Linked DNA regions of Ovis aries. The protein of the gene in region 6 interacts with the protein of the main gene of each other region in a pairwise test. Links are inferred from orthologs where the notes say so. Each region holds a gene or a part of one and is shown on either strand. Other genes may lie near its edges.

The links.
Region 1: the proteins of PPP1CB (region 6) and PPP1R3C interact in binary tests that used the Homo sapiens proteins (3 or more experiments, as listed by UniProt). The two-hybrid records come from large-scale screens. The link is inferred for Ovis aries from reciprocal best matches to the Homo sapiens genes PPP1CB and PPP1R3C.
Region 2: the proteins of PPP1CB (region 6) and PPP1R16A interact in binary tests that used the Homo sapiens proteins (3 or more experiments, as listed by UniProt). The two-hybrid records come from large-scale screens. The link is inferred for Ovis aries from reciprocal best matches to the Homo sapiens genes PPP1CB and PPP1R16A.
Region 3: the proteins of PPP1CB (region 6) and PPP1R3B interact in a two-hybrid assay, tested with the Homo sapiens proteins (2 studies listed by BioGRID and IntAct). The link is inferred for Ovis aries from reciprocal best matches to the Homo sapiens genes PPP1CB and PPP1R3B.
Region 4: the proteins of PPP1CB (region 6) and PPP1R7 interact in binary tests that used the Homo sapiens proteins (3 or more experiments, as listed by UniProt). The link is inferred for Ovis aries from reciprocal best matches to the Homo sapiens genes PPP1CB and PPP1R7.
Region 5: the proteins of PPP1CB (region 6) and CSRNP2 interact in binary tests that used the Homo sapiens proteins (3 or more experiments, as listed by UniProt). The two-hybrid records come from large-scale screens. The link is inferred for Ovis aries from reciprocal best matches to the Homo sapiens genes PPP1CB and CSRNP2.
Region 7: the proteins of PPP1CB (region 6) and SH2D4A interact in binary tests that used the Homo sapiens proteins (3 or more experiments, as listed by UniProt). The two-hybrid records come from large-scale screens. The link is inferred for Ovis aries from reciprocal best matches to the Homo sapiens genes PPP1CB and SH2D4A.

What each region holds. Positions count from the first base shown.
Region 1 is NC_056075.1:13,013,211-13,017,677, reverse strand, and holds the start of PPP1R3C (protein phosphatase 1 regulatory subunit 3C), read left to right. Parts: upstream 1-1,616; 5' UTR 1,617-1,704; coding exon 1,705-1,718; intron 1,719-3,986; coding exon 3,987-4,467.
Region 2 is NC_056062.1:13,427,439-13,431,741, reverse strand, and holds the start of PPP1R16A (protein phosphatase 1 regulatory subunit 16A), read left to right. Parts: upstream 1-1,462; 5' UTR 1,463-1,731; exon of another isoform or gene 1,732-1,789; intron 1,790-4,303. UniProt on the Homo sapiens protein: Inhibits protein phosphatase 1 activity toward phosphorylase, myosin light chain and myosin substrates.
Region 3 is NC_056079.1:24,325,019-24,328,852, reverse strand, and holds part of PPP1R3B (protein phosphatase 1 regulatory subunit 3B), read left to right. Parts: intron 1-176; coding exon 177-1,059; 3' UTR 1,060-3,834. UniProt on the Homo sapiens protein: Acts as a glycogen-targeting subunit for phosphatase PP1. Facilitates interaction of the PP1 with enzymes of the glycogen metabolism and regulates its activity.
Region 4 is NC_056054.1:607,433-611,266, forward strand, and holds part of PPP1R7 (protein phosphatase 1 regulatory subunit 7), read right to left. Parts: intron 3,415-3,834; coding exon 3,349-3,414; intron 2,786-3,348; coding exon 2,655-2,785; intron 2,296-2,654; coding exon 2,133-2,295; intron 1,013-2,132; coding exon 896-1,012; intron 66-895; coding exon 1-65. UniProt on the Homo sapiens protein: Regulatory subunit of protein phosphatase 1.
Region 5 is NC_056056.1:135,103,404-135,107,846, forward strand, and holds the start of CSRNP2 (cysteine/serine-rich nuclear protein 2), read left to right. Parts: upstream 1-1,500; 5' UTR 1,501-1,756; exon of another isoform or gene 1,757-2,407; 5' UTR 2,408-2,556; coding exon of another isoform or gene 2,557-2,580; intron 2,581-3,844; 5' UTR 3,845-3,876; coding exon 3,877-3,957; intron 3,958-4,443. UniProt on the Homo sapiens protein: Binds to the consensus sequence 5'-AGAGTG-3' and has transcriptional activator activity. May play a role in apoptosis.
Region 6 is NC_056056.1:35,686,614-35,691,025, forward strand, and holds the start of PPP1CB (serine/threonine-protein phosphatase PP1-beta catalytic subunit), read left to right. Parts: upstream 1-1,372; 5' UTR 1,373-1,598; exon of another isoform or gene 1,599-1,621; intron 1,622-1,697; 5' UTR 1,698-1,785; coding exon 1,786-1,837; intron 1,838-4,412. UniProt on the Homo sapiens protein: Protein phosphatase that associates with over 200 regulatory proteins to form highly specific holoenzymes which dephosphorylate hundreds of biological targets.
Region 7 is NC_056079.1:37,576,006-37,578,928, forward strand, and holds part of SH2D4A (SH2 domain-containing protein 4A), read right to left. Parts: intron 488-2,923; coding exon 267-487; intron 1-266. UniProt on the Homo sapiens protein: Inhibits estrogen-induced cell proliferation by competing with PLCG for binding to ESR1, blocking the effect of estrogen on PLCG and repressing estrogen-induced proliferation. May play a role in T-cell development and function.

The DNA.
Region 1 (4,467 bases), on a different chromosome or scaffold from region 6:
TGTTGAACACATACCAAGCACTTTGCTGAGTTTTCTCATCTGTACAGTTTCATTTAATCCTCAGAACAATTTCACTATCTCCATTTTACTGATGAGGGAGTTGAAGCTCAAACTTGTCTAGATTTGAAAGTGTCAAACCCAAACAGTGCCCCTTCAGCTAGTTTTGGTTGTTCTGAGAAACTAGAAGATCTGCTTTTAGTTGGATGTTTTCTTTAAAAAATCAAGCCCAAGTGATAAATAACTGCCCCAGTGATAACTCACTTTTTCTTTAACCACACCATTTTAACACTTCTGCTGCTGCTGAACGGTGATTTTAAAGACATAGGGATTTTTGTACATTTTACATTGTATATTCTGTACATTTTTATGGACTGCTGGATAACTAAATTGAGAGCAGAGCAAGGACATGGACTTTATACAAACAATTCCTACTCGACTTAGAAATTTAATTTTATGGTTGTAACTGATGATGGTCTAAAAACTCCCCAAACTAAACAAAATTACAAAACCTCGATGAGAATAACCGGCCTGGGAGAGTCATGAAACTTACAGTGTGATAGTTTAACATTTTGGTTTTCACATCGCTGCCAGAGGACGTCAGAACCCAGATGAGGGATTTGGGTTGACCACTGGCTCTGCGGGCTGACCCACCACATGAGCAAAAGAGGCCTTTTCATTTCTGGCTTTAGTTTTCTCTTCCAGGGAGAAAAGCTGAAGACTAGATTGAAATACAAAGTACCTTTTAATGAAATGCTGCCTCATTGTCTTATAATAGGGCTAACACAGACTGCCGGTGGCTCAGATGGTAAAGAATCTGCCTGCAAAGCAGGAGACCCGGATCAATCTCTGGATCAGGAAGATCCCCTGGAGAAGGGCATGGCAACCCACTCCAGTATTCTTCCCTGGGAAATCCCAAGGACAGAGGAACCTGGCGGGCCACAGTCCATGGGATCTTAAAGAGTCGGACAGGGCTGAAGCATTTAATACGGACTAACACGGTTTATTAACAATATTGGTTAGAGAAGAATGTACTGTGTGGTGCATTTCCGGGTTCACCCTAACCCCAAAATATGCAGTCAACTTCTGATTGCTCAGGGCAAGGAAAGGGAGAAGATAAGCCAATGCACCAAGCAATGAACAAGATAAACATTTCAAAACTATAAATATAAGCACACACACACATCCCCTTCCCCCACCGCCACCCCTCCACGCGTCCCCGGAACGAGCCACAGTGTCCTGCCCTCAGATAACTGTATACAGAAGCCTCGCGAGTGAGACACCTCCCTCCCTGCAGCCCCGCTGTGTTGGCGCTCCGCGCGGGAGGAGGTTTGCTGCTTTCCCTCCTGGCCTGCGCCGGCTACTTGTGCTACGCGGTTGCCTCCACGCCTCCTCGCCCGGGGTTCGCGTTACTCTACCCCGGCCAGCTGGCCCGGGGTCCCAGAGCGCCCCCAGCGCCCGGCGAGCCCTGCACCACGGCAGTCACGTCCCGGCAAGGGCTCGCGCCCCAGCTGAGCGCTGGTTGGTCGCGCCGTCGAGCCCGCGGCCCAGCGATTGGCCGTGGCAGTCGGCTCACGTGGTCCCCCGCAGTTAAGCGGCCTCCCGGGGGCCGCACCCGCGATCTGCCGGAGCTGCGGCCACTCGGGGACTCCCGGGAGACGCGTGCGAACTCTCGCAAACCGCGGAGTGCCGCCGCTCCTCTGCCTGATGAGCTGCACCAGGTAGGTTCCCTGCAGATTCTCCGACCCGGAGCTCAGGGAGCGCGCAGCTGTCGGGAGGCTGGGATGCGTTTTCCTGCTGTCATCCCCGCCCCGGAGACCCCAGGGGAGGGCGGGTTGACAGGCTGCTGAAGAATCTGGCGCTGGGGAGGCCTTGGAGGTGTGAAGATTTGCTCTGAGCATCTTAGGCAGAGCTGATTTCGGTAAACGGCATCTTAAACCAGAAACGTGAGTCAGCTTTAGTTCTGATTCCCTCGTGGATTCTAACCGTATCTCTTGGTCCTGCACAGAGGTCTCAAGGACTCGTGGGAAGAGCACTCAGATTGCTGGCTGTGTAGTTTAGCTTTGGGAAAAACTTAACGATGGACGATGTTCACTTTCCTTGGTCCTCTTTCCTTCTTCTGACGGTTTGCCATAGCAAAGCCAGTCTCGGGAGTTTGAGCAAATGATTATTTTTAAACTCTTCGGCCAGACTTAACATTCCAGGGAAATCGCCGTATCCTGAAACTGTCTTTAGATAAGTGCAAAATGTGAAAATACAGGGCAAACCCCCAAACAAAAAAACCACCCACAAAACTACTTAAATAGCTTCTTTAGACATAACTTAGCAGAAGACGTCTCTAAAATTTCCGCCTGTTAACTATTATTAGACCAATAAATATAGCTTTCTCTCTCATTTGTTTGTTCTAAGTTTGTAGGTCTCCCAGAAAAATCCTAGGGCTAATAAAGTGAATTCTCAGAATATTCTTTTATTACCCATCTTATGATAATGACCATTTGGCTATGTGCTTAGAGCTGCTGGGAAGACAGTTACTAAAGCCGGAACGAGAAATGTCACATACAGTATACACACACTTCTTATCTGAAGGCTAGGGTAGGGGAAAAATGTCCATAAGTTTGGCAATGTATACTCAGGGCTAAAGGCCAGAAAAAATACCTTTCTTGATGGACACTTCATGGTTTAATATTTCTGGGCATAGTTATGTCTAAATTTTAAATAGCTTTATTATCTTTCTAGTTATAAATATCCATTGCCAGAACATTTGAAAATACCAAAAAAGTACAAAGGCAAAAATAGATCACCTATCACCCGGAGATAATTGTTAACTTTTTGTTGTGCTTCCTATTAGACTTTTCAACATTTATAAGTTCATATATGTGTTGTGTGTGTGTATATATATATATATATAAAACACATTTATTGAAACTATCCTATTTTCAGGTTTGGCTTTCCCAGTGACTCAGCGGTAAAGAATCTGCCTGCAATGCAGGAGACACGGGTTCAATCCCAGGGTTGTGAAGATTCCCTGGAGAAGGAAATGACAAACCACTCCAGTATTCTTGCCTGGAAAATCCCATGGACAGAGGAGCCTGGTGGGCTATAGTCCATGGGGTCACAAAAGAGTCTGACATGACTGAGTGACTAAATAATGACAATAATTTTCAGATCATCAGATTTTCCCACTTAAATGTGGAGTTGGCATGGATGTCTTTTTGGGTGAAATACAGATTATGTAAAGATTTTTAAATTCATAAATGGCTGCCTTGCACTTCAGTAGGTTATTTGTGTAAAATGGGGAAGAGCATGGTAATGAAAGTGCAGAGAGAATCCTCTAATTTACTCTTTCTAGTCTTTGGCTCTCAAAACCCTTTGCTGTTTTTATTCTTTCTTTTTAAATGGATTATGGTTCCAGAGAAGTATAATTAATTCAATAGCAAAATCATCAAAGCAGTTGAGGGAGTGCAGTTTGGAACTTTGATTCTAGAACCTGTCTGGTCATTGGCTTACCTGGGAAGCTTTAAGAACATATATACATTCTTGTCTCCATCCCCAGGGGTTCTGCATTAGAGGCTCTAAGTCCAAGGATTCTGCATTGAAAAAAAAGAAATCCAACCCACTAGGCCATGGTGGGGGCTTCCGTGGTGGCTCAAACAGTAAGGAACCTGCCTGAAAACAGACAGGTTTGAGAACTGGTGCTCCAGAACAGAGCAAATGGTTTTAGAGCTGTATTAGAGTTGATCCCATCCAAATCTTTTATTTCTCAGATGGAGAAACTGGGACACCAAGTGTTTTAACCCGTGGCCTATAGCCTGTCAAGGGCAGAGCCAAACGTAAGATGCAGCTTTTATCACCTAATCCTGCATTCCTTTACTTCATGTGAGAGCGCTGTGCTGGCTGTAATAGCCAACAAAAATAGTACAGACCTACTTGGGACCAGGGGAAGTGCATTCTAGGTGCAGATGATAACCCCTCTTCTTTCTGTATTCTAGAATGATCCAGGTCTTAGATCCACGGCCTCTGACAAGTTCAGTCATGCCCGTGGATGTCGCTGTGAGGCTCTGCTTGGCTCATTCCCCACCTCTGAAGAGCTTCCTGAGCCCTTATGATGACTTCCAACGAAGAAATTTTGTGAACAAATTAAAGCCCCTAAAGCCGTGTCTCAACATAAAACAGGAAGCCAGAGCTCAGGACGGCTGGAAGCCTTCACACAACCAAGCCAAGAAGCGGGTGGTGTTTGCGGACTCTAAGGGCCTCTCCCTCACCGCCATCCATGTCTTCTCAGACCTTCCCGAGGAGCCCATGTGGGATCTCCAGTTTGACCTCTTGGACCTGAATGATATCTCCTCAGGCTTAAAGCTCCACGAGGAGAAGAACCTGATTCTGGATTTCCCTCAGCCTTCAGCTGACTACTTAAGTTTTCGGAACCACTTCCAGAAGAACTCTGTCTGCCTGGAGAACTGCTCTTTGCAG
Region 2 (4,303 bases), on a different chromosome or scaffold from region 6:
AGGGGCTGGCCCAAAGGTGCGGCCCTGGAAAAGTGTGTTTGGCAGCGACCCTGAACCATGGTTCTCCTGGTCCCAGACCCTTCTGTCCACTCAACTCCTCCCTGGCGTGATCTGTGGCTCTGCCTCTCAAGTGCTCTGTACCCTGCTCTGTATACTACCCCAAAGCCTGGGTTCCCCCCCCCCGGGGGGAGGACTGGGCAAGTTTGCACAAGGCATTTATCAGGCCCAGGACACCAGCAGTGGTAGGGTGTTGCTATTAGAACCCCCAGACCCGAGGGAAGCCGTGGAAGCACAGGGACACACTTTATATCACTTTACTCAAGATTTTTCTCAGGCAGCAGCAGCACTCCCCCTGCCCAGTCCGCCCCCAATTATACCCTTGCTAAGTCACTTCAGTCGTGTCCAACTCTGTGCGACCCCATAAACGGCAGCCCACCAGGCTCCCCGGTCTCTGGGATTCTCCAGGCAAGAACACTGGAGTGGGTTGCCATTTCCTTCTCCAATGCATGAAAGTGAAAAGTGAAAGGAAAGTTGTTCAGTCATGTCCGACTCTTAGCGACCCCATGGACTGCAGCCTACCAGGCTCCTTTGTTCATAGGATTTTCCAGGCAAGAGTACTGGAGTGGGGTGCCATTGCCTTCTCCGCCAAGTAGCTTAGGTGGCAGCTAATTTAGTGTAAACCCTTAGAGGGCTGAAAATCTGGAGCATACAGTGGGTGTGCAGCTCTCACTGAGGTGCTGAGAGAAGGGATGGGTGATGGGTGATCTGGAGGAGGAAGCCTGGGGCTGAGATGATGTTGGTGGGGTGCTACACTGCTACCTCCATTATCAGATTCTTCATATTTCCTCTGGCTTCCTCTGGACTCCCATGTCACCTCTTCAAGTCCTGTTCGTTTCCAGGGCTCTAGCTGAGAGGTTCTTGTGTCTTCTAGCCCAGTTCAGTTATTGAGAGGTCTTTTTCTCCAACAGGTCTAAGGCACTGCTTTTCCTCCACTGTCCCCTCCTTGCTTCCAGGATAAAGCCCAGCTCTTGGTTTGGCGTTCAGGGCTCCTCACGTCCTGACTACTCATCGCTGGCCGCACAGACCCCACAGAGCGGGCCCCGCCCTCCTAAACCACCACCTCAACTGTTCCCACCTTGGCGCATGCTCTCCCCCCATTAATGCCCCTGCTTTGTCGAGTGAACTCAGACCCTTTCTTAAAAGATCAGAGTAATCAGACGACCACCCTCCTGGCAAACTTGTGACTACTTGCGCTTCTCGCCCCGGAAGGCCCTCCCCTTGCCTGCCGGCCATCACTGCACCCTGCCCAAGCGGCGGTCCGCAACCTCCCCAGTCCCTCTGGGCAAGCCCCGCCCCCGGGCGGCGGTTTCCGGTCCTGGGGAGCGCGGGCCGGAAGTTTCGCGTTGCCATGGCAAGGGCCGGGCGCGGGCCCGCCCCCGCGGCGCCGGGAGGAGCGCTGGGCAGAAGGACCCGCGGACCGGCTCCGATCGGCTGCGAGGTGGCTGCTGGCGCGAGGCGGAAGGTGAGGAGCGGACTTCCGGGGCCGGCGGGCGGGCGGGCGGGGAGACCGGGAGGCTGGGATCCCGGCGGGAGGCCGCCCAGGCCCCGCTCGGCGCCGGTGCTGAGGGTCGGGAAGGCTCCTGGAGTGGCGGCCGTCAAGGCCGGGCCGGGGCGCTGTTCGCGGCTGAGCCGAATGCGGGGTTGTTTTCAGCCGTGTAACCTGTTGGCCAGGTAGGCAGCACCGGAGTTACCTCCGTTTCAGCTGAGGACATTCGGGCCTGCAGAGAAGGTACTTGCCAGGCTTCGTGTGTGCTTTGGAGCGAGGCCAGAGGAAAAACCTGAACCTTTCTGTGCCAAATTCCTTAACTTCCAGGGGTTCTAGTGACCTCCTTGTAGGGATCCTGGGCTCCAGCCCACCGATGGGTGTCCGGGCTGGAATAGCCATAGCTGTGCGGCGAGCGCCGGCCCGCGCGGCTTCGGAGGCGCAAGGGGCCTGGGCGGGAAGGTCCACGCCGGTGGGGCCCCTCCCTGTCCTGCAGTGGAGGCTGAGGCGACTGTGGGATTAGTTTCCGTGGGTGCGGAGGCGTTTCAGGTGTGGGGGAGCGGGAGCCAGGGCCGAGCTCTGGCTGGCCCTCCTCAGAGCTCTGGGCCTTCCTTTCCCTACCCCGTCCTTAGCTTGGGGGTGGAGTGGGGGCCGCACTGCTCTTCTCAGCCCCTCTGCTCCCGGGGATGCTCCCTGGTGATGCTTGTGGGCTCTCCCTGGGAGAGCTGTGAAGGAAGGGCCTCTGTGCCCCAGGCTGGCCTCCTGGCTTACTTCAGGGGCAGCGAGATTCGCCTTATGGGCGGATGGTTCCCTGACGGATCCTGGACCGCTGGCCCCGCGATCCTTGCCTGGGGGCCCTGTGGCGCTCTGAGCAGCCAGCTCCCTGCCTGCCTCCACTGTGCCGGAGGCTCTTGGCTCAACGCTGGGATGGAGCAGCATCAGCAGGTCTATCTTTCCTTCCTTGTGGGCTCTCCGCGGACCTGCCCTGGCTTCATCCCTCACCTGCTTGGACTCTGCTCTCCTGGAAGGTTCCTGGGCTGGCAGGCGCCCAGCAAGAGGCCCTGGTACCTGTGGGCTCCACGTTGGTGTCTGTGTTCTAGGGATTTCTGAATTTCACTGTGTTCAGCTTTGGAACCTCAGTCTCAGATGAGCCTGTGGTGGCCCAGCACGGCACCTGCACCCCAAGAGTTCCCCACACCAGTGCCTCTGTCCCGGTCCACTTGTTAGCCAAAGCAAGTGTCTGGGTGGTAGTGTCTTCTCTCAGACTTGCTCCTCAGTTGCCCAGATCCTGGTTGTCCTGTCCATCTCTCGTACCAGCAGCCTGCACCTCCTTCTGGGATGGGAGCCTTTGCTCCTGGCCGCTCTTCTGCGCTCTGACTCGGCGCTTTGACTCCACCCTTCTCACCATAGGCAGAGTTATGGGTCCGAAAAGCAGATCTGATCCTTGTCCCTCCTGAACATCCTTCCTCAGAGACTGCTGGATGACATGCCTGTCTTTGCACACTCGTCCCCCTCCTCTGCCCCCGCCCCACTCCTGAGCACCTTGCCATGTGTGTCGGGCCTCCACCCTCCTGAACCCTTGCAGTAGTGGTGGAGGAGGCGGGGAGGGGAGAGAGTGAGCCTCCGCCTCCCTTCCAAGCTCTGTGTCTTTAGGAACAGCCCTGCCAGCACATCAGACTGAGAAAAAAGGACAGAGGGACAGTCATGTCTAATTCCACAGACGCCTGGGACGGCGGGCTGGGGAGGAAGAGGCGCTCGGCTGCCGGGCCCCGTGCTGGCTGTGTGGTGAGGCCCGACGGCAGACAGCGAGTCTGGGCTGCGTGCTTCCTGGGCGGCTGTGACAGACACAGATTGCCGGGACTGCCCGAGACCTTGGTCATTCTTTGACCACTGCTGTTGGGTAGGTTTTGTGTGGGGTGCTTTGTAAGACTCACCCCCACCCACCCCCAGAACCTCCTTCTGTTTTGGAAGGTGAGCCCTGGGAGCCTCCAGGACTCAGGTGAAGCTCCTGCAGACCCTTCCCACCATCCGGGAGGTCTGGATGGCCCTTCTGCGCTGGCAGGGCACGCGGCCAGCCTCGCTGTGGCCACAGGCCTCCTGCGTTTGCTCCGGGCTGCGCTCAGGGCGTGTGGGCACTGCATGTGTCACCATCACAGGCTCTGCATCCCAGTGCCAAGCCCAGCCCTGGCACAGCTGCACTCACAGCTGAGTGGCAGTTCATCCACCCGGCGGCTCAGTCCTGGGCTGGGCACCTGCGTCTGCTTCCGCGCCGTCCCTCAGTGTAGGGAACCCATCAGCTCCTGCGGTCATGGGTACTTCTGCAGGTCAGGCCTGGGGCTTGGGGAAGAAAACAGTGACTAGTGCAACAATGGAAGCGGGGTGAAGATGCAGCAGAGTGACGGGTTGACTGCAGGGGACCTGAGGAGGCAACGTTTAAGCTGGGATCTGAGCTGCAGGAAGGAAGGAGGTATGCTGAGATCTTGTGAAGAACTTTCCAGACAGAAGGCACAGCTGACAGAAAGGGGCACAACGATGAGGTGGCAGATCGGGGCTGGCAGAGCTTTTCTGTGAAGGGCCAGAGAGTCAGGGTTTCAGGCTTTGAGGGCCACGTGATCCCTGGAGCAGCTATTCTGCCGTTTCGTGGAAGAGCAGCCACAGACAATATGCAAGTAAATGTGCTCTGTTTCCACAAAACTTTGCTGACAGACCCTGAAACTTGAATTTCACGTGATACTCATGTGTCACCAAGTATTCTTTTTC
Region 3 (3,834 bases), on a different chromosome or scaffold from region 6:
CCCACCCTCCACTTACACTTTTAATCTATCCTGAAGCCATGGTCCACCCTTGAGTTAACAATGAGCTGTGGCCTCGTGGGCGGAGATGAAGGCAAACGCAGCTTGCCAGTCCCTGTTGGAGGGATGAGTCTGAATGTCTGTCTGACCTTTCTGTTTCTGTCTTTCCCCTTGGCCAGGGTTCTAGCGTGTTCCTCTAGCCCCGTGATGGCTGTGGACATTGAGTGCAGGTACAGCTGCATGGCCCCCTCCTTGCGCAGAGAGAGGTTCGCCTTCCAGATCGCCCCAAAGCCAAGCAAACCTCTGAGGCCTTGTATTCAGCTGAGCAGCAAGAATGAAGCCAGTGGGACGATGGCTCCGACGGTCCAGGAAAAAAAGGTGAAGAAGCGGGTGTCCTTCGCCGACAACCAGGGGCTGGCCCTGACGATGGTCAAAGTGTTCTCCGAGTTCGATGACCCATTAGATATTCCGCTGAACATCACCGAGCTCCTGGACAGCATCGTGAGTCTGACAACAGCGGAGAGTGAGAGTTTTGTGCTGGATTTCTCGCAGCCATCAGCAGACTACCTGGACTTCAGAAATCGGCTTCAGACCGACCATGTGTGCCTGGAAAACTGCGTTCTAAAGGACAGGTCTATTGCAGGCACCGTGAAGGTGCAGAACCTCGCGTTCGAGAAGACAGTGAAAGTCCGGATGACCTTTGACACCTGGAAGAGCTTCACAGACTTTTCCTGTTGGTACGTGAAGGACACGTACGCAGGTTCAGACAAGGACACGTTCTCCTTTGACATCAGCTTGCCTGAGAAAATTCAGTCTTACGAGAGGATGGAGTTTGCCGTGTGCTACGAGTGCAACGGACAGACATACTGGGACAGCAACAAAGGCAAAAACTATAGGATCATCCGAGCGGAGCTGCAGTCTACCCAGGGTACAGCCCAGCCATCAAACGGACCAGATTTTGAAATAGCCTTTGACCAGTTTGGAAGCCCTCGGTGTTCCTATGGTCTGTTTCCGGAGTGGCCTAGTTATTTGGGATACGAGAAGCTTGGGCCATACTACTAGTGACAGCCTGGGATGGAGCCAGGCTCAGTGGGCGCGGATGAGCCGAGCTGCAGTCATCCTGAGATGGAGAGGGAAGCCTAGAGGAGAGCTGAACTGCCATCAGACACAGTTTTGAAAGCAAAGGATCCTAGTTACTTTTACCCTTCAATCAGCCAAGACAGCCAGGCTTTGATCACAGAACTGGGTTCTCACTTGGAGGAGATGGCTGTGCTGGTCCGTTTGGCAATGAGGGTCTGTCTGAGCAGGATGATGCTGGAAAGAGTCTGGACAGGACCCAGGCTTGTGGGCAGCCCTGGCCAGGCCAGAGGATGTTGGCTCAGTGATAAGGAGTCCCTCTCCTCTTGGGTGTGGGAAGTCAGTCCCCTGGCAAGCCCTTGGTCCTCCCCGTGGCCCCTCTTCTGGGGGTCTTTGCCACCCAGCCAGGGCCTTCTCACCTGCCCTGTGTCTACATGGGCTTCACACTTTATCCCTGCATTTTTGTGCACTTGGTTTTCTTCCACAGTTCAGCTGATGTTCAGGAAAAGAGGATACAAGCCAATCAACTTGTGATGGAGACGGGCATTCTCTCTTTCTGACCCTGCTCTGACGGCCCAGCAGAGGATGACACACCAGCTATGGGAAGTCAGCTGGCTCCTGGGTGGTGTCACCAATGGCGCACTAGGCTGATGCCAGCAGGACAGGCATGAGTGGGACACTTAGCTTCTCTTCTTGGCTTTGGAGGAGCTTTCTAAGCCCTCACTCTTACCCTGAGTTACTGGACAGCTTGGTTACAAGACTTGTTGTAACTTGCTCAGCTGGCTTGCCTGTGTCTCTTTCTTCACAAAAGGATTTTAGAATCTCTTTTCCTGGAGAGTCATCATTTACGCCATGTTTGGGACGTTTGGATTTGCAGATTCAATATATCCTCCACACCTCCAGAAAACATTTGGTTGTATTTTGACTGTGATTTACAACATCCACGTTGTAAACAACACCTTACCAGCCCTCACGGACTTTGATTTGGTTGTTCTTATTTATGGTGTGTGGGTGTGTAAAGGGATAGGGAGAAAAACCTCACCAAGTTCGTAGATTTGATTTTTACTGTTTGCCAACTCTGAAATATCATAGACTCATTGTTCTTAAACACATTGGACTAAAGCATTAAAAGTCTGTTGGTTCACATTGTTGTGAGATTACTGGGACTTTCCTCATCCGATGGATCCCCAAACCCTGTGATTTTTCTTGGGCAAGATTCATTGGTACTTGGGAGTGTTTAAAAAGTACTTTTATATGTGTATTTGTAGAAGGTTTGGGTTTTGTTTTTATTTTCAGAACTTAATTAAAGGACCGCCTCGTTTTTCTTCTGTCTGATCTTACTAAAGCGAGGTCTTCCTAAGGGGAGGCAGGAGACAGGATGCCCCACTCCCTAGATCTAGGGACACAGACCCTGGACCCTGCACTCAAAGAGCCTTCTTTCACTTGCATTCTCCAGATCAGTTGGAAGAGACCTCCTGGCTTCTGTGGCTTTTGTAAATCAGCATTGAGCTGATCTCAAGTGTCTTGGCTCCTAGAGTTTTGTGGTTGAGTTCTTTTTCTTTTCTTTTTTGAACTTTAAAATGTTTTGATTGTTTTAAATGCTCTTAAGTGGTGTTCCACAGAGTTCTTATCCCTAAAACTGGCTGTGATTAGTCTGCAACCTAGTGCTTTATTTTTTATGTCTCTCCCAGGTGGCCAACACTGGGGGATTACATGCTAATATAATTTAAGGGACAATCACATTTTTTTCTTATGCTGACATTGGGCAGAACTGGGTTTTATGTAAGCATGTCTTACATCCAGTACACAGACAAGATCCTCTATATTACAAATCTGGTGATCAGAATTGTTATACAAGAGTGTAAATCTACACTATTTGGAAGCAAACCTAATTTTATACGGGTCATGAATTTATTTTGCTTTAAGAAGTCCCCTCCCTCCTGCAGTTTATGAAAGGTACAAAGTGTACTTATGACCAGATCGTTCTCTGTTAGTAAGAAAAATGCCTCAAGTGACTTCTGTATGGTTTTCAGTCATTGTGATCTGAAGGCATTCCCATGTCAAAATTTGAAATATGGTAATTCAGTGATAAGTATCTCTTTCAAAACAACCACAACCCCTCCCCCTACCCTTCTTTCCTCCCAGCTCAGCCCAGCTTTTCTGCTGGGGGCACTGGTTGCAAACCCCCTCACCAGTGCACCTGGGTTGCTCACCCCACCGGGCAAGTCCTTACCTGCTGGCAAAGAAAGACCCTTCTCTGACTAAAGCAAGTGCCTGCCCAAGGTCCCTGGCAGCATTGTCAGGCAGTGAGGTTTTGTCCTCTGAAGAGCACTATCTCCTCTTCACCAGTCAGTCTCCTTTTGGGCTTCCCACATGGCGCTCGTGGTGAGGAACCTACTTGCTAATGTAGACAACTTAAGTTTGATCCCTGGGTTGGGAAGATCCCCTGGAGGAGGGCATGGCAACCCACTCCAGTGTTCCTGCCTGGAGAATCCCACAGACAGAGGAGCTTGGCGGGCTGCCGTCCATAGAGTTGTAAAGAGTTGGACACTACTAAAGTGATTTAGCACACGCATGCTGTCTGCTTTGGGGCCAGTTTTCTCCCAGGATATCAACAGCTGGCCTCAGGACCTGCTCCCAGGGGTTCTCTCCTCGGATCCTAACTCACCAGCAGTAATATGTCTACACACTTCAGAAAGGGACAGGTTTCTTATCTGGAGACATGACTGTAGCCTGACCTGTAGGTCTGACCCTCTTTGT
Region 4 (3,834 bases), on a different chromosome or scaffold from region 6:
CTGAGATACAGCTCCCGCAGGTTCACCAGGCTCTGCAGGCCCTCGATCTTGGTCAGCCGGTTGCTCTGCAGGGAGAGTCAGAACGCATGAGACCGGGGGCTTCTGGGAAGATGGCAGTGGACACAGGGCTCCTGACAACAGGGCGCCGCCCACAGCAGCTGCAGGGGCCTGGCCCACAGGGAGGCAGACCAGGGCCCTGCGTCTGCTGTCCTGGGCCAAACTCGTGCACATGGCCAAAGGCTTTGATGCACGAAACTCACTTTTCAAAATCTACTTGAAACAGGTCTACCTCAAATAATTTAATTAACTCAAAAATGTCAAAATCAGAATATTTAAAATCACTTAGTTCTCATTTCCTTTGGCATCCATCGTACTCGAGTTAGAGCACAGCGCTCGCTTCTCACACAGATCTGCACGATATCTGCTTTCCGAGAGGCATGGGTGGTCTTGGGGTTCCTGTCCCCACGGCCTGCCACCAAAGCCCCCGGGCCCACCACCGTGCGCCTGCTCCTGATGAAAGAAGCCGGGCCGCAGCCACGCGGGCACTGCCCACCCCACGTGGGTGCTGCCCAACCATGCCCAGGTGGCACACTCCTGGGCACGGACGGGACAGGACGGCTGGGGGGGTCACTCCCACCAGGAGCCCAGCACGGCGTGAGCTGTGGAGAGACGAGCTGCCCTGGCTAAACACCGCCTGGATGTTCATTAGAGGACATGTGGCGTGTTACGGAAGGAAACCTCAGGCCCGCGTGGGTCACGTGTGCTGCAGATCTGTGCAGTGTGATGTCTCCACTCCTCACTGACAGTGAAGCCAAGCGCTGCCCAGCATGGAGGCAGTGGAGGAGCAAAGCCCTGCCCTGGGGGCCCACGGGGCAGGAGGCTGGGCGGTCCGCACCTGCATGCTGAGGACGGTCAGGTTGGTGAGTGCATCCAGATTCTGAAGCTTAGTGATCTTGTTCTTCCCCAGAAACAAGCTCTCCAGGCTGGTTAACGCGTCGACATTCTCAATCACCTGCGAAGATCAGGGCAAGGCAGCAGTCACGGGAGGGGAGGGCCCGACCCCTTGGGCGAGCAGACAGAGCTGCCTGCGTGTCGGGCAAGTGCTGCCCGCTCTGGGATCCCCCAGGCAACCTCACTTCAGAGCGCAACCTGAGAACAGACGCTGGTGGTGTCCTGCGGGTGGCAGCTGCGGGAGCCCCGGGCCTGGGACGCCTGCAGGCTCCTCCCCGCTCTGCCCCGTGCTCCCCAGGGCCCCATGGGCAGCTGCGCTAGTGAGCGCCCCTGGCAGGCCTCAGGTCCCCGCCTCCCGGGTACACCACTCTCCCACAACAGGCTAGCTGAGCTTTTCCGGCAGGGGCTGCAGCGGGGCCTCCAAGGGCAGAGTGAGCCTCTTCTTCAGTCCTCACAGCAGGATGGGCCGGGGCTGGGCCGGGGCTGGCCCGGGAGGACGAGGACTCAGAGGCAGGGCAGCCCCGCCTGCCGTCACCTGCGTCGGCTGTGACGCGGCCCCTCTCCCCCACAGGGATGCTGCGGAACACGCTGATGCCTGGACCACCCCGAGTTTCACACGTGCTGCTTTGCTACTTTCGACCACACCACCACCACCACCACCACCACCACCGGTCACAAGAAGCCCTTTGCCGCAAACACCCTCCTTGGTTTGCGTCCTGTCTAGCTCACAAGGGCCAACCTGAGCTGACCAGTGTGCTAGAAGCTTCCAAAAGTTGGAGGGGCATTTCTGGCATGCAGGTGGAGGAAGGGCTCAGAAACCCTGCCTACAGCCACTCAGCAGGGGCGGATGGGCCCACTAGGCACCAGGCTGTGCCCACCCTCCTATGGCCGGAGTGGGGGCCCATCCCCCTGCTGTGCATGGGCCCCTTCTGCGCCAAGAGGCGCGCCTAAAACCACACCCAGCGGCATGTCCAAAAGCCAAGCGCCGGGGCCGCTGTCGGGCAGAGTGCAACGCCTCTGCTAAGAGTTACATCGTGACTCGGATGAGGAGCAAGAGAACGCCGCGTGTGGAAGAAAGGGCCACGCTCCCACGAACACCGACCCCCAGTGAGCACTCGGTCTCGCGAGACACAGCTGCACGCCCTGCACACCTCCAGGCCGCGCCCCGCGCCCACACCCACCCGTATCCGGTTGGACCCCAGCTCCAGCATCTGCAGTTGGTGCAAGCTGCTTATGTTCTCAATTTTGCTGATCTTGTTGTTGACCAAGAAGAGCTTCTTCAGTCGTGTCAACTTATCAACGCCTTCAATGTTTCTCAGTAGATTAAAAGAAATATCTAAAACCCTGGGAACAAGCAAAGCATTCATTAACGAGCACAGGTCACGCCGAGCTCAGGACGTAGCTGACTTAGAGGCAGCAGCCCGCCCGGGGAATGTGGCGGGGCGGGCAGCCCATAGGGCCCCGAAAGCCTGCTGCCCCGGCTCCCAGCACGAGGCTGAGGACAGAAACCGTCTTCTCCCTAAGGAGCTCAGCCTGACATCTCCAGTCAAAGGCTTCACGTGCAGGCTGGGACTGTGGGCAAGCGGGTGCCCCCGCGGAGCCAGGCACAGGCCTGACCGTGGGCGGGGGCTCCCCGGCCCGAGTTCGGGCTGCAGGGCTGGTTTCGGGGCGGCTGCCAGGCCCCTTGCAGCCTCACAACTCACTCCAGCTCTGTCAGCGCGTCCAGGTTCTCAATCCTCCGGATCTGGTTGTCGTAAAGGTCCAGCTCTCGGAGGCTCTGCAGCCCCTCTAGGTTCTCAATGCACTTGATCAAATTCTGCCGGAGGCAGAGCGTCTGGGGGACAGAAAAAGGGCAGCTGACAGAGGGGACGGGGAGGCCCGTAGGAAGTGCCCACTGTCCCAGACTCGGCCTCCACACCTGGGGCCTGGGTGGGGAAGTGGTTTTGCTCCTGTTTTCTAGTACGGTGCTGACCTGGAGAGGACGGGCAGATACCCGCGGGGATGCAGGGAGGCCCTGATGAGCGTTCTTGCTGTGTGAGGGGGGTGCTGGGCAAGGGGAGGGGTGCTGTTTTCCAGCAGAGGGAACTCACTGAACTGCAGTGAGCTAAGCACATCGAGTCTGGGCTGCATGTGGCTGCAGGCAGGCCCCGACGGAGGCACCACCGATCTGAGCCACCACGCGAACCTGGGGAGAGCCAGCTAGCCGAGCGTCCGGCCTGTTACCCTGCAGGGCTCAGGATCAAAGGCGCCCGAGGGACGCTCCCGTTGCAGCGTGGCACCTTCCCGAGCACGGTCACCGCGCAGAACTGATCTGCTCCGGTTCACCCACATCCAGTGGGGGGATGCACTCTGCAGGGCCACGCGGGCCCCTGCCATGCAGGGACGAGTTCCTCTCACCTTCACTTTCTTCAGCACCTCGAATCCTTCAATTTTTCCAATGCGATAATGATTCAGATCTACATCCTGAAACAGACAAAACCTAGCTCAGCTGCAGATAGGCACCTGGAGACGCGCTTCCCGGGCTTGGAGCCATGAGGAGGCCGGGAGGCGGCGGGGCTCGGGGAGCAGTGCCGCCCGGAGTCATGGGGCCAGCTGACGCGGGCACAGCTGTGCCGTGACAGGCAGCGGCCTGACGTGAGACTGACCCTATGAACCAGTGGTGCGAGAAGCCTGCTCTCGCCTGCGCGCGCCCCTCGTCACCCCTGGGGGCTGCCCCACCCTCGCCTGCGGCTCCTCCTCGCACCAGGACGGATGTGCAGTGGTCACGGCTGCCTCTGCCACACAATTCTCGGTGTGTACAGCGCCACGCGAGACCAAGCCCTGGTGTTAAAAACAGTAAGAACACAAGGACTCTGACCAGCCAAGGGAGGCCCCGACCACCGT
Region 5 (4,443 bases), about 99 Mb from region 6:
CCTATGAGATACATACTTTTATCCCCATTTTGCAGATGAGGAGGCCAGGGCACAGGGACGTTAGTTACCTTGCCAAGGGTCACACCGTTAGTAAGAGGAGCTGGGGCTTGTAGTCAGGCCATCTAGCTCCAGATTTCATGCTCTTGGTTACATGTTATATCATGCCTAACTTTAGCAGATAGGTGGATGATCAGTACTGTAAGGACTGCTTTTTTATGATCTGCTTTTTTTCATTTTGCAGTATTGTACCTTGGTTTCTCTGAGTCTCTTATATCACCTAGGGGAGAGAACTGGAATTCTTGGCATTTTTCCAAGTCACTTAACCTCTCAGTTCTAAAACTGAGCTGGCTTGGTACCCGGTAGATCTGGCTCATAGTTCTTGGTGGCAATGTAAGTGCACCATGCTTTGGAACCAGCCTAACCAGAGTTTAAATCCTGCCATCCATCCATTTGATAAATAAAAAGTTCCTAAATGCCAAATACCGTGTTTTGTACTTGGTGCTGAGGATACAGTAAACAAAACAACTTCTTACTCTCATAGAATTCACTCAATTGATAAAAGACTGAAGGATAAATATACGTCAAATAGTAAATGCTTAAGAAATATAGGGCAAGGGGATAGATACTTAGGGGAAGCCCCATTTTAGAAATATGGTTAAGGAAGTGTCTCTGATGAGGGGACGTTTGAGCAAGTATTAAGCGAAGAAGTATAGATCTAGCTGGTGAAAGAGTGTTCCATGATTGTCCTGTTGCAAAGAATCTAATGGGCCAGGGCAGTTAAAACAGAAAGGGAGGGGAAATGTAAGAGACAAGCTGACATACAGGATGGTGGTTGTTCAGGCCAGAGGATTCACCTATATCTTACAGGGCCTTATAGGTCAAAGGAGAGACCTGTTCTTCCATTCTGAGCGAGACAAGACCAAGACTGGGTGTCCTTGGCAAGCGACGTACAACATTCTGATTTCTGAGTCTTAGTTCTCGGTTTTAAAAATGAGCTGCAAAATTGTGAAGATCAGAAATCACGTCAGAAAATCTGGAAAGAAAACAATCCATCAATACACACTGAAGATTACTCTGCATTGCTTCTATTTTCTTTATACTCTGGGCAAGCTGCAGCACGTCGCGCTGCTTAAGACTTAGATCCCCTGAGCGAGGATAAGGGGGATTACGTTCCTTAGACCTGGAAGTGTGGGTCTGATGAAAGGAAAAGGGGAGTTTTAGAAGAGAATCTGTTTAGTCATCGAAGATCTGGAGCTGAGGGTCTCCCCTCATCCTCTTCAAAAGGCTGCAGCGACGTCAAACTCGCTTTCCCAGGCTGCAGCGGAATCACAGCCTTCTGAGACTGCCGGCGAGTTTCGGCTCTGCGCAGGTAGCCGCCTCCAACTCCCGGCATGCCGCTGGGCGTAGGGCTATCACGTAGACTCCATTTCCCAGCCTGCCCCGGGGCTCGGTCCGGACGTGCCGGCGCCTATAAGAGCCAGAGCGCTGCGGCCGGAGCCTATTGTTAGCCGGAGCCGGGGCGGTTCTGGGCGGCTGCTGCCGGGGGGCGCCCGAGTTGTCGGAGCCGCCCGCCCTCTGCCGCCTGCCGGCCGACCTGCCCACCCATCGTCCCTCCCCGCCCTGCCGCCCTGGGAACTCCCAGACCGTCTGTGCGGCCCCGGGACTCGCTTTCTCCTCCCTCCTTCCACTTGGGCTAGGGCGGCGGCAGCGGGGGCGGCAGATACCATCACCGGAGGAGGCAGCTGCGGCGGAGCCGGTAATGGGCCTAGGGGTGGGGGGCGGAGGGTGCCTCCTCGTCCTTTCTCGGGATCGGCCCCCGGGCGACTGTGGAGGAGTGGTCAACCCAGAGCCGCGCGGATGGAGGGGTCAGAAATGAGGGAGGCACGGACGGCAGCGGTCGGGGGGCGGGGAGCTAGAGCGCCGCCGGGAAGGGAAAGAGTCGGGAGAGGCGTGGGAGCCGGGGGCACGGAGGACGCGGGCCCCGACTGCGGGGGCAGCTTAAGGGAGACCGACGAGCGGCTTAGAAGCCGGCAGGAATTCGGATTGCGGGTTGAGTTCGGAATGGAGTGGAGATGATGTAGGATGGAGGGAAGTGAAGGAAGGGGAGGGGGGAAATAGAAGAAAATGTGGGAGGAGTGGTTGGGAATTTGTGGGTAGCAGGCAGGAAAGGATGGGGAGCTGGGTAGGGGCTGCAGACGCTTGGAGTGAGCAGGAAGATTAGCAGGAGTCAGAGTGAAAAGGTACCCCAGCGCTGAAGGGTTCAGCGGGGGTGTCCATGAAGGGGAACTGGTGACTGGACATGTCCTTTCAACCCAGGTTCCTGAGGTCTCCCATTTTTTTGTGTGGCGTTGTGTGGGAAAACGAAAGCATCAGTTGCCCTAGTTGCTAGTTGGCTCTTTTTTCACAGGCCCAAACACGCAGCCGACTGCCATCCATTCCTTTTAGTGCCGCGGTCTTGATTCATCCTTTTAAAGGGAGCTAGAGTGGCAATGTGACACACACACGGTTCTTAAGTATGAAACGTTAGAAGTTATCCCCGAGAGACACAGTGTCCCCATGTCTTGCAGTTTTCAGTTCAAGGTAAATCCATCGTTAATTCAGATTCTCCTTTTCTTTTACCGACTTTCCAATTTGCAAGTGTCCAGAGCCAGGAGGGTGTCGATGTGAGCCAGGGTTATAAACGACTGGAGATCCTTGAGAGTTCATGGGTCCTGCAGCACCACCTTCCAGGTCTCCCACAAAGATCTCGTGCCCTTCACAGGATGGGAGTTTAGACGTGGAAAGCCAGATCCTCACCTTGTGTCAGTGAAGGGATGAAACCAGAGGGAAGGTTGGAGGGGAAAAGCTTCCTTGAAATTCCTAGTTTTAACAAAATGTTTTCACTTGAGCACCTTGTTAGTTCATGATCCTGGTTATCACAAGGACACATGGAGCCACAAAATTCATAGTATTTGAGGAGCAGCTCACAATATTTTGTAAAAGGAGAAACAGGACTGGCCATCTTATTTAGGTTGATCCTAACACTTAGCAGCAAGCTTTCCTTCCTCTAATCCAGCTATACATGGTAGTGCTGACATCTTACTAGAGATTTTCGGCCCTTGACCTTTAGCAGAAGGTTGGGTTCCAGTCGAGTAGAAGTGGGATGTGAGAGGTACCTTGTCTTATTTTGGACTCATTTAGGACAGAGATTTCATTACCTAAACTCTGTCAATACATTCTGCATCCACAGAATTAGGGGAGGGGCAATTCCTTTCTTGCTAGTCTCACATATGCTGGGTTTTGGGGTTTGAGGGCGGTTATAGGATTCCTCACAGGCCTGAAAAGGCTTAAGCTTAGTACTAAAATACATATATGCTATAAATCTGTTTTATTTGGTGCTAGCCTAATCTCTTCTATATACTGTGGATCTGAATCATTTTGTATACCTTTGGGAAATGTTCAACTAGCAGAAATACTTAAGAAAAGGCAGTAAGGCATGCAGCTAGAAAGTGTCAGCTGACCTTTCATTTTAATGGCACAAAAGCTGCTATAGAGGTTTGCGTTATTTTCTCCAAAAGCATTTATTCTTTGAGTTGGTCATTTTGACAGTTAACTGTCAGTTATGACCTGCATTTTCAGTCTCATCTTGATTATTTCGGTATGGGTTAAATGCTTGGAGTATAAGTTATAAGTGTTTTTCTTGAACATAGGCATTGATCCTCTGCCAAAGAATAAACAGTTGAAAAAAAAAAAAAAGAATAAATAGTTGAGAGAAGTGGGGATGACTGATTTCTAACTGTGGTTGGAAAGGAAGTTAAATTGATAAATTGAAAAGTGGAACCCATTGTTGTTATTGCTATTTCAGAAAAGGATTTCTTCAGGCCACAGTGGAAGTGGATGGGAGGTTTCTTGGTGCCCAGTGGACATCTTTATCTCACAAGTCAAGTTCACTCCAGAGAGCTGGACAAGGAAAGCTGGGTTGGAATCTTAAGTTATACTGGTTCTTAGGACAGAATTTTTGGATTTTTTTTTTTCTTTTTGATAAGAATGAGTTAATGGCAGAAAAAGTGATGCTAACATCCTGGATAGGGTGAAAAGAGCTCAGTCAGTGTGCACATTACTTATATATATTACTTTATATTACATATATTACATTACATTACTTACCCATTCAGATGATTCTCAGACATTTTAAGGAAAATATTTTTCTCCCAGGTTTTGCATCTTCTTTTCTTCTTTCTTACTAGCTTCCTCCTATCATTGCCCAGAAACCTCTTTTCCAGAAATGGGAGTGAGGAAGACGTAGAAAAAAAAAGAATAGAGAAAGCAGCCAGTAATCCTGGCCGCCCAGAGTGCACAAAAAGTGACCTGAAGGGAAAAGATACCCTGGGGGCAGCTGGGTTAAGACAGTGGAGGATTATGTTAAAGCACCATCTTGGACCAGACTCAATCACATGCAGGGCT
Region 6 (4,412 bases):
AAAAAATCTATGATTTCTGTTATCAGCGTTTATGATACAGCACACGCATATTTTAAGCATCTCAGATCACACACTGAGGAGGAGTATATCACAACTGTTGACAGTGCAGACACTGGTGCTAGATGCCTGGGTTTGAATCCCAGATCTGCCACTGAATTGGGGCTAGGTACTTAACCATTCTGAGTTTCAATAAATCCCATCTACAAAGTAAAGATAATAATAGTACCTACCTCATAGGGCTAGTGTAAGGATTAAACAACACATGTTGTATAACATTTAAAACCGTGCCTGAGCACATACAGGGATCTCAAAAATGTTAGTTATTATTGGTGATATGAGAGTGGGGGGAGCACTGCCTTGAGCTTGAAACAGTATCTTAAGTTTCTGGACAAACACCTGAGGAATGATTAAAGACTTTGCCTCTGACCCACTTCTGAGAACAGGCCAAAAACTCTGGCTTATCTAGATCTTTTGCGTGGCTGCTCTTCCCCCTGCTTTTCTAGAGGCAGAATTATGTGATGGAAAGAAGAGAGGAGCAACCAAGCTTTCTGAGCCTCAGTGTTTCTTTGTCCCTCTCTTCTACATTACCAGATGTGGCAGGAGCTGAAAACACAAAGATAAACTGGGTTTACCGTGTAGCTCACAGTCGAGTGTAGGAGATAAATGCAAAATCACACGGTAGAATGATTAAGCCATATAATGAAAGTATTTTTCTTGTTGCTAAATGCACTGTGAAAAACAGCAGCCACAGAATTTAAGACGTATTTGAAAGAGATCTAAAGAAAGCAGACAGCGGAACTCATGTGAAATATTTTTATTGCTGACCCTCCCAAGGCCCTTTTCAATTTATTTCATCCACGTACACTTGGCAACCAACCTTGTGGAACCGCTGGATTATAAAACCCTTTATTTGCAAAGTCAAACTTTTCCAGTAGAAAAACCCCTTCTCGTTTTCCAAACGGACAAATCCAGCTTCAAACATGGGTAACAGCAGTCCACGTTTCCCGCTTACTGAAAACGAGGAATTGCTTGCCAAATCAGGGACTGAAACCAAGAAAAGAAAAGCGAGGCGGGAACAGCCACAACCGCGTCTGCGTAGCGCCGGGGCCCGGCCAGCTAGGAGGCGGGAAGGTCAACACTGCCTACGCGCGCTCTGCGTAATGGGAGCTTCCCCAGCCCAGCAAACCCTGGGAGCCTCCGGGGCGCCTGCGCAGCCGCTGAGATTCAGCGCAGTGGAACTGGCGAGGAAGGGCGACGCACCTGCGCGAAGCGGGCGGTGCGGCGCGGCGGCGGTGGCGGCGGGCGAACCGAGTCCAGTGCGATTGCGCGAGGGCAGGGGGTGGGTGAGGCGGGGCCGCGAGGCGAGTACGCCGTGCGCCTGCGCGGGGGGCTGCGTGGCGCGGTGGCGGGGCAGGGCGGTGTGGAGTGAGTGGCGCTGCGGGTGGGGCCGTCGGCGGCGCTGGTGAGCTTTGCGGAGTTGGGCGGTGCCGAGGAGGAGGAGGAGGAGGAGGTGGCGGCGGCGGCGGCTGGGTCTGACGCGGCCCGGTTCGTGGGGGGCTCCGCTTGTTTATTTATTTATTTATCGTGGGTGCCTCCGAGTGTGTGCGAGCTCCGCAGCTAGGTGGGGACGGGGTGGGGGGGAGGGCCTGGGGGAAGGGGGAGTTGGAGTTGGGGTCGAAACGCCGCGTGACTTGTAGGTGAGGGCACGCCGAGCGGTCGCCGCAGACTCCGCCGCCGAGAAGCCCTTGTTCCCGCTGCCGGGAAGGAGCGTCTGGTGCCGACAAGATGGCGGACGGGGAGCTGAACGTGGACAGCCTTATTACCCGACTGCTGGAGGGTGAGTCGGGGCCCGGCGGGCCGCGGGGAGGGGACGCTCTCCCTTACCCCTCCTGGTCCCTCGGGCGCTGGAGCCCGAGGGAACACCACCCCACCCCCTCCGCCGTCCGCTTCCCCGCTTTTCCCGCCCCGAGACGGCCGCCGAGGATGGGGGCGAAGAAGCTGGTGGGCCGGGGGAGCGGCCTCCGGGAGAGAGGCCGGCCGAGAGGGGCCGTCCCCGCGGGCGGGCAGTGCCCCGCGGACCTTCGGGGACCCGCACGGCGGCGCGCGGCCGGGGCGTGGGGTGACCCTTCCCAGAAGGAGTGGGCCGGGATGCGTGCTCCGATGCATTGTATGCCCGCGAATTGTGTGTTTCTCCTCTGTGCTCTTTGTGCCTTGCCCTTGGCTGCCTCCCGATTCTTGTTCTGGGAGTGAAAAAAATTTTTTTTTAAAATCCACCTGGGAAAACTGTTTGATCTGTTCAGCAAATTTTACATGATCCTACAGGACGAACTATTTAGGGAGAAGATAACACTAGCGTGAGTACCTCCCATGTCTAATTTAGCTTTAAAAAATAGTAAAACAGGTCTGACCGAGACGAAGAAGCACGCCAGAAATATGTAGACACACGTTTGCTGTAGGGATTAGTTTTCGAATTTGAGAATCTTAACAGGTTTGAGCAGGATTTGATTTCTGCACAAACTTAGGAGAGGTCGATTGTAAAGCCTCTGTTGTGTTTAAAGGGTCTTTGCAAGTCTTCGCAGCTTTTGAAGTTTCTGGGCCCTTCTGTTTTTATTGGATAGTTTTATGTTAGGGTTGGGGATTGAGGGATAAGGAAGAGATGGAGAGGCCAGGATATTATTCAAAGTCCATCGCGGTCTTCTGCCCGCGAATGCCTTTATCCCAACATTTGCGTCATCACTAACTGCTTTGTGAGTGAGTAGAAAAGAAATTGACCCATAAAAAAAAAAAAAAAAGATTTAGAGTCCTCTCTGTCAGAAACTGTGGCAGGATTACATAGACGTTGTTACTTGCTTTCGAATTTCCTGAAGATAATTATTTTTCACAGTGAAACAGTATGTGCTTACTGTGATGGAAAAGCATCACAGAAGATTGTATGGTTGGGGGGCGGAAGGGAGGGCGCTGGTTCCTTTTTTTGGCCGAAGTGTCGGTATCTCATCAGTTTCTGTGTATACCGGTTGTGTAGCAAACTACAGTAAATTTGCTGCAGATGTGAGTCTTCCAGCAGTGTGAGACTGAGTGTCTTTTAAGACTGAATAAGAAGCAAAGTTTTACCAGGAACTCTTATTTGCTTTTTCCTTTACTATTAAGTTATTCCTGGGAGGCCCCCTGGTGCCTGCAGTCAGTTTTCACTGTTTAAGACTTTGTGGATTTTAACAGATGTGAACATCTTGCTGGGTGTGAGACATTTGCTTTGAGGGGAAAATTTTTTTGTTGTTTAATTATTTGTTGTTCTGAGAGGGAAATGTAGCTGTTTAAAAATTTTAATATCTTGTTAACTTTGGGAGAAGTTTATGCTCATCATGAACTTGGCTTGTAAATTTATTTAAAAATATGATGCTTGTATCCAACTTCTTCATTTTTGTTTTCCATATACTTATTTATATACTTTATAGGCATAAGACAAGATAAACTTATGTATTTTTAAATGTTTGATGTGGGATGTCTTAAGTGAGATGATTTTATGATTATACATAATTAAGAAACTTCACTCACCGATTGTTCAAGGCTACTAGGAGAAAGATACGGTGGGGAAAATAGGCTAAGTGATTGTTTCTTTGAATTTGAATTACATCAGTGTTCGGTTCTGGTTTTTGATGATCGTTTTCCAGACATTTTCCCCTTTTAAATTAGCAAGAATTTACTGACCTGCTTTGTGCCAGTCACCAGGAATGCAAAGACAAGACACTGTCTCTTCATTCAGGGAATTCTCAATTTATACAAGTGATTTAATTCTCCAGGCCCCTTTCTCCTTTGCAAAATCTAGACCTGTCCAAAGACATCCAAAACAGACTTGGATTTTCTAGAAAGTAGTTACTTTTAGTATTGAAATAAATTTTTTTAGTCTCCAAATAAAAATCACTTGATTTTCAGTGACATTACATTTTAATTAAAAGTAACTCAAATTCAAGTGAGGTTGCTTAGCAGAATAGCTATAGTTAAATTTTTGGTTTGTCTTTAGTATTAAATGAAAGTACAGAACTTGATCAGCAATATTTAATCTCATTTTAAAATGTTGATTGTAGTTCCATAACATAGTCTCGATTATTTTTTTCTTTTTATTACATCAGATTACCAGTCAGCTATAATACTTTTAGTATACATTTTATGAGTTGGTTTGTGTTTACTTAGGTGGGCAAATCATGTGAATTTCTAAAGCACCATTTACATTTAATTTTTTGTTGTTGATATTATTTAATGCAAAACAGTATACTAATTTATTGTTTGGACAGTGCATATTCCTCCAATACATTTTCTTGATTAAGTTTTGCTTACTACAAAGCCAGAGATTCCTACCACTCTCGGCTGTAGTGACCCTGCTACTACATTGTTGTGGGTTTATCATCGTGCTTTTG
Region 7 (2,923 bases), on a different chromosome or scaffold from region 6:
ATCCCCTGGAAGAAGAAATGTCAACCCACTCCAGTATTCTTGCCCGGAGAATCCCCATGGACAGAGGAGCCCGGCAGGCTACAGTCCGTGGTGTCACAGAGAGTCGGACACAATTGAGCATGAGCACTATTATCGGGAGGAGTTACAGAAGCGGGGGGCTGATCTCCCCTGCTCGTCTCAGCTGTCTTCCGTGGAACCGCCTTTCACTGTCAGAGCAGCTGCAGGACACCCGTCACCGAGCGAGCGACGTGTGCACGGGGCCGCACCTTGTGGTACTCCACCAGCTCGGCCAGGCTGGCGTGCTGCAGCTGGTCCACGCCCAGGAAGCTGTATGAGTCCAAGGAGGCATCTATGAGGAAGTGCTTGCAGCCGTCCTCAGACTGGTAGGACAGGGCGTAGCCCTTGACCTTCTCGTTGACCCGGATCAGAAAGCTGCCCGGCACGCAGGTGCTCAGAAGCTCGTTCGCTCTGTTTACGGTGAGGATTCCTGTGGGAAAGAAGGGCAGGGGTTTCAGCCACATCATTTCCAGAGCTTCCCTCTGCTAAACACAGCCGTGTGGATAAAGCCAGTAAGAACCTGAGCAGCCCTAAGTCCACACTGGGTTTCCTTGGAGCAGTACTGTGGTTCGTCATCTGGTATTTGGTACCTGGGATGGGGTTGCTGCTAAGTCACTTCAGTCGTGTCCGACTCTGTGCAACCCCATAGACGGCAGCCCACCAGGCTCCCCCGTCCCTGGGATTCTCCAGGCAAGAACACTGGAGTGGGTTGCCATTTCCTTCTCCAACGCATGAAAGTGAAAAGTGAAAGTGAAATCGCTCAGTCGTGTCCGACCCTCAGTGACTCCATGGACTACAGCCTTCCAGGCTCCTCCATCCATGGGATTGTCCAAGCAAGAGTACTGGAGTCGGGTGCCATTGCCTTCTCTGGGATGGGGTAGGTTCCATAAGCAAATGTGTAGTACAAATGGAGGGCTTCCCAGGGTGGTGCTAGAGGTAAAGAACCCGCCTGCCAATGCAGGAAGCATAAGAAACCTGGGTTTGATCCCTGGGTGGGGAAGATTCCCTGGAGGAGGGCATGGCAACCCGCTCCAATATTCTTGCCTGGAGAATCCCCATGGAAAGAGGAGCCTGGCGGGCTACAGTCTATAGCATCACAAAGAGTTGGGCCCCGCTGAAGCGACTTGCCGCGTATGCAGTACGAATGGAACGCTCGCCCCTCAGAACACGTCTCCACCCAGTGACAAGCATGGGCGTCATGTGGCTTCTGAGGGGTAGGACCGTTGACAGTCATCCTGGGAGGGTGAGCTCTCCCAAGTTGACTGATGGGGACCCTGGGGCCTGGGGATGATCCTACAAGATCTGCAGTGGGAGTTCTCACTGGAGCGATGTCTGGAAACGTCTCAGACACCGGGGCTGGGGGGTGGGGGTGGCTCTAGTCTTCTCCAGTGCATGGAGGCAGGGATGCTGCCAAACCTCCCACTGCTCACAGAACAGCCTCACTATAGACAGTGATCCAGTGCCAAAGGCTGACAGTGCCGAAGGCGGGCACCCTGGTCAGGGGTCAGCGAGTTAGTGACAGTGTCCTTTGCTGTGACTACTCCTAAATGAGGCTTCATTTAACGGAATGACGCAAGAGATGCAGGCATGCGCACACACGCGTGTATATGTGCTGTACTTAGTCGCTCAGTCATGTCCGACTCTTTGCGACACCATGGACTGTAGCCCGCAGGCTCCTCTGCTCATGGGATTCTCCAGGCAAGAACCCCGGAGTGGGTTGCCATGCCCTCCTCCAGGGGATCTTCCCAACCCAGCGATCGAACTCAGATTCCTGCCTTGCGGGTGGATTCTTTACTGTCTGAGCCACCAGGGAAGCCCAAGAGTACTGGAGTGGGTAGCCTATCTCTTCTCCAGCAGATCTTCCCGACCCAGAAGTTGAACTGAGGTCTCCTGCATTGCAGGCGGATCCTTTACCAGATGAGCCACCAGGGAAGCCCCATGTGTGTATATGCGTACTATCTGTGTCTTCACAGATGCTCAAAAGGATGCCACTCTTCAAACACACACACACACACGTGTTATGCTACACACGCATAGTTTGGATGCCTCATGAATTCACAGGAATTCAAGACCAGCCTTCCCCAATTAGTCCACACTGATTGCTCAGGTCTGACCCATGCTCCCGGTTCCCCTGCTTGCTCCTCCTCATCTGTAATTCCTCAGGTGAGCCCACGACGTGATAAGACAGAGAGGAAGTGTGCAGATACGTGCTGGCAGGATGGTCAGCTGCTCTGAGCTCTGGCCAGAGGGCAACGTTTCCTGCGTCAGCAGATGGAACCTCCTGCCTCTTCCATGCTGACATTCGGTATTACGATTAGAGAGAAACCCAAAGGCCTCCTGGTGAGAAGGCAATGGATTATCACAGCTCTTCAGTCTGACAAGACTAAAGTTAGTAAAGTTAATTGAGAATTAAACCTAAGGATCCAGTGTAAAACGTCAAATGAAACCATTTGTGTTCTTTTCTGTAAGCAGACCTTTGAGAAGGGAGGATTAGAGATCATCCGCTCCCCGGGCCTCGTCTCCCCCGCTGGGCCTGAACCCGCACGTCTGGGTGTGGGGGCTCAGCTCCAGGGCGACGCGGGGCAATAGCAGGGCCTGCGGCCAGCCCCTCATGGACAGGAAACGCGCCTGCGAGGAAAGAAGCAGGCGGCCGCTCCTCTGGCATCCAGGCTCTGCCAGGACCCCGTCCCGCAGGCCGCTGAGTCCAGTCGCCTTCCTGCCCTTTCCTGATGAGACTGAGGTGCTGGACACAGCAGGCGCTGTGACTGAGGAGCCCCTGGGGTCGCTGCCGGGTGTCCATGTCAGGCGCCCAACTAATACCCACGTGAGCATCCCCGCGGCAACTGCTCCTTCCTGCCCGTTTCAC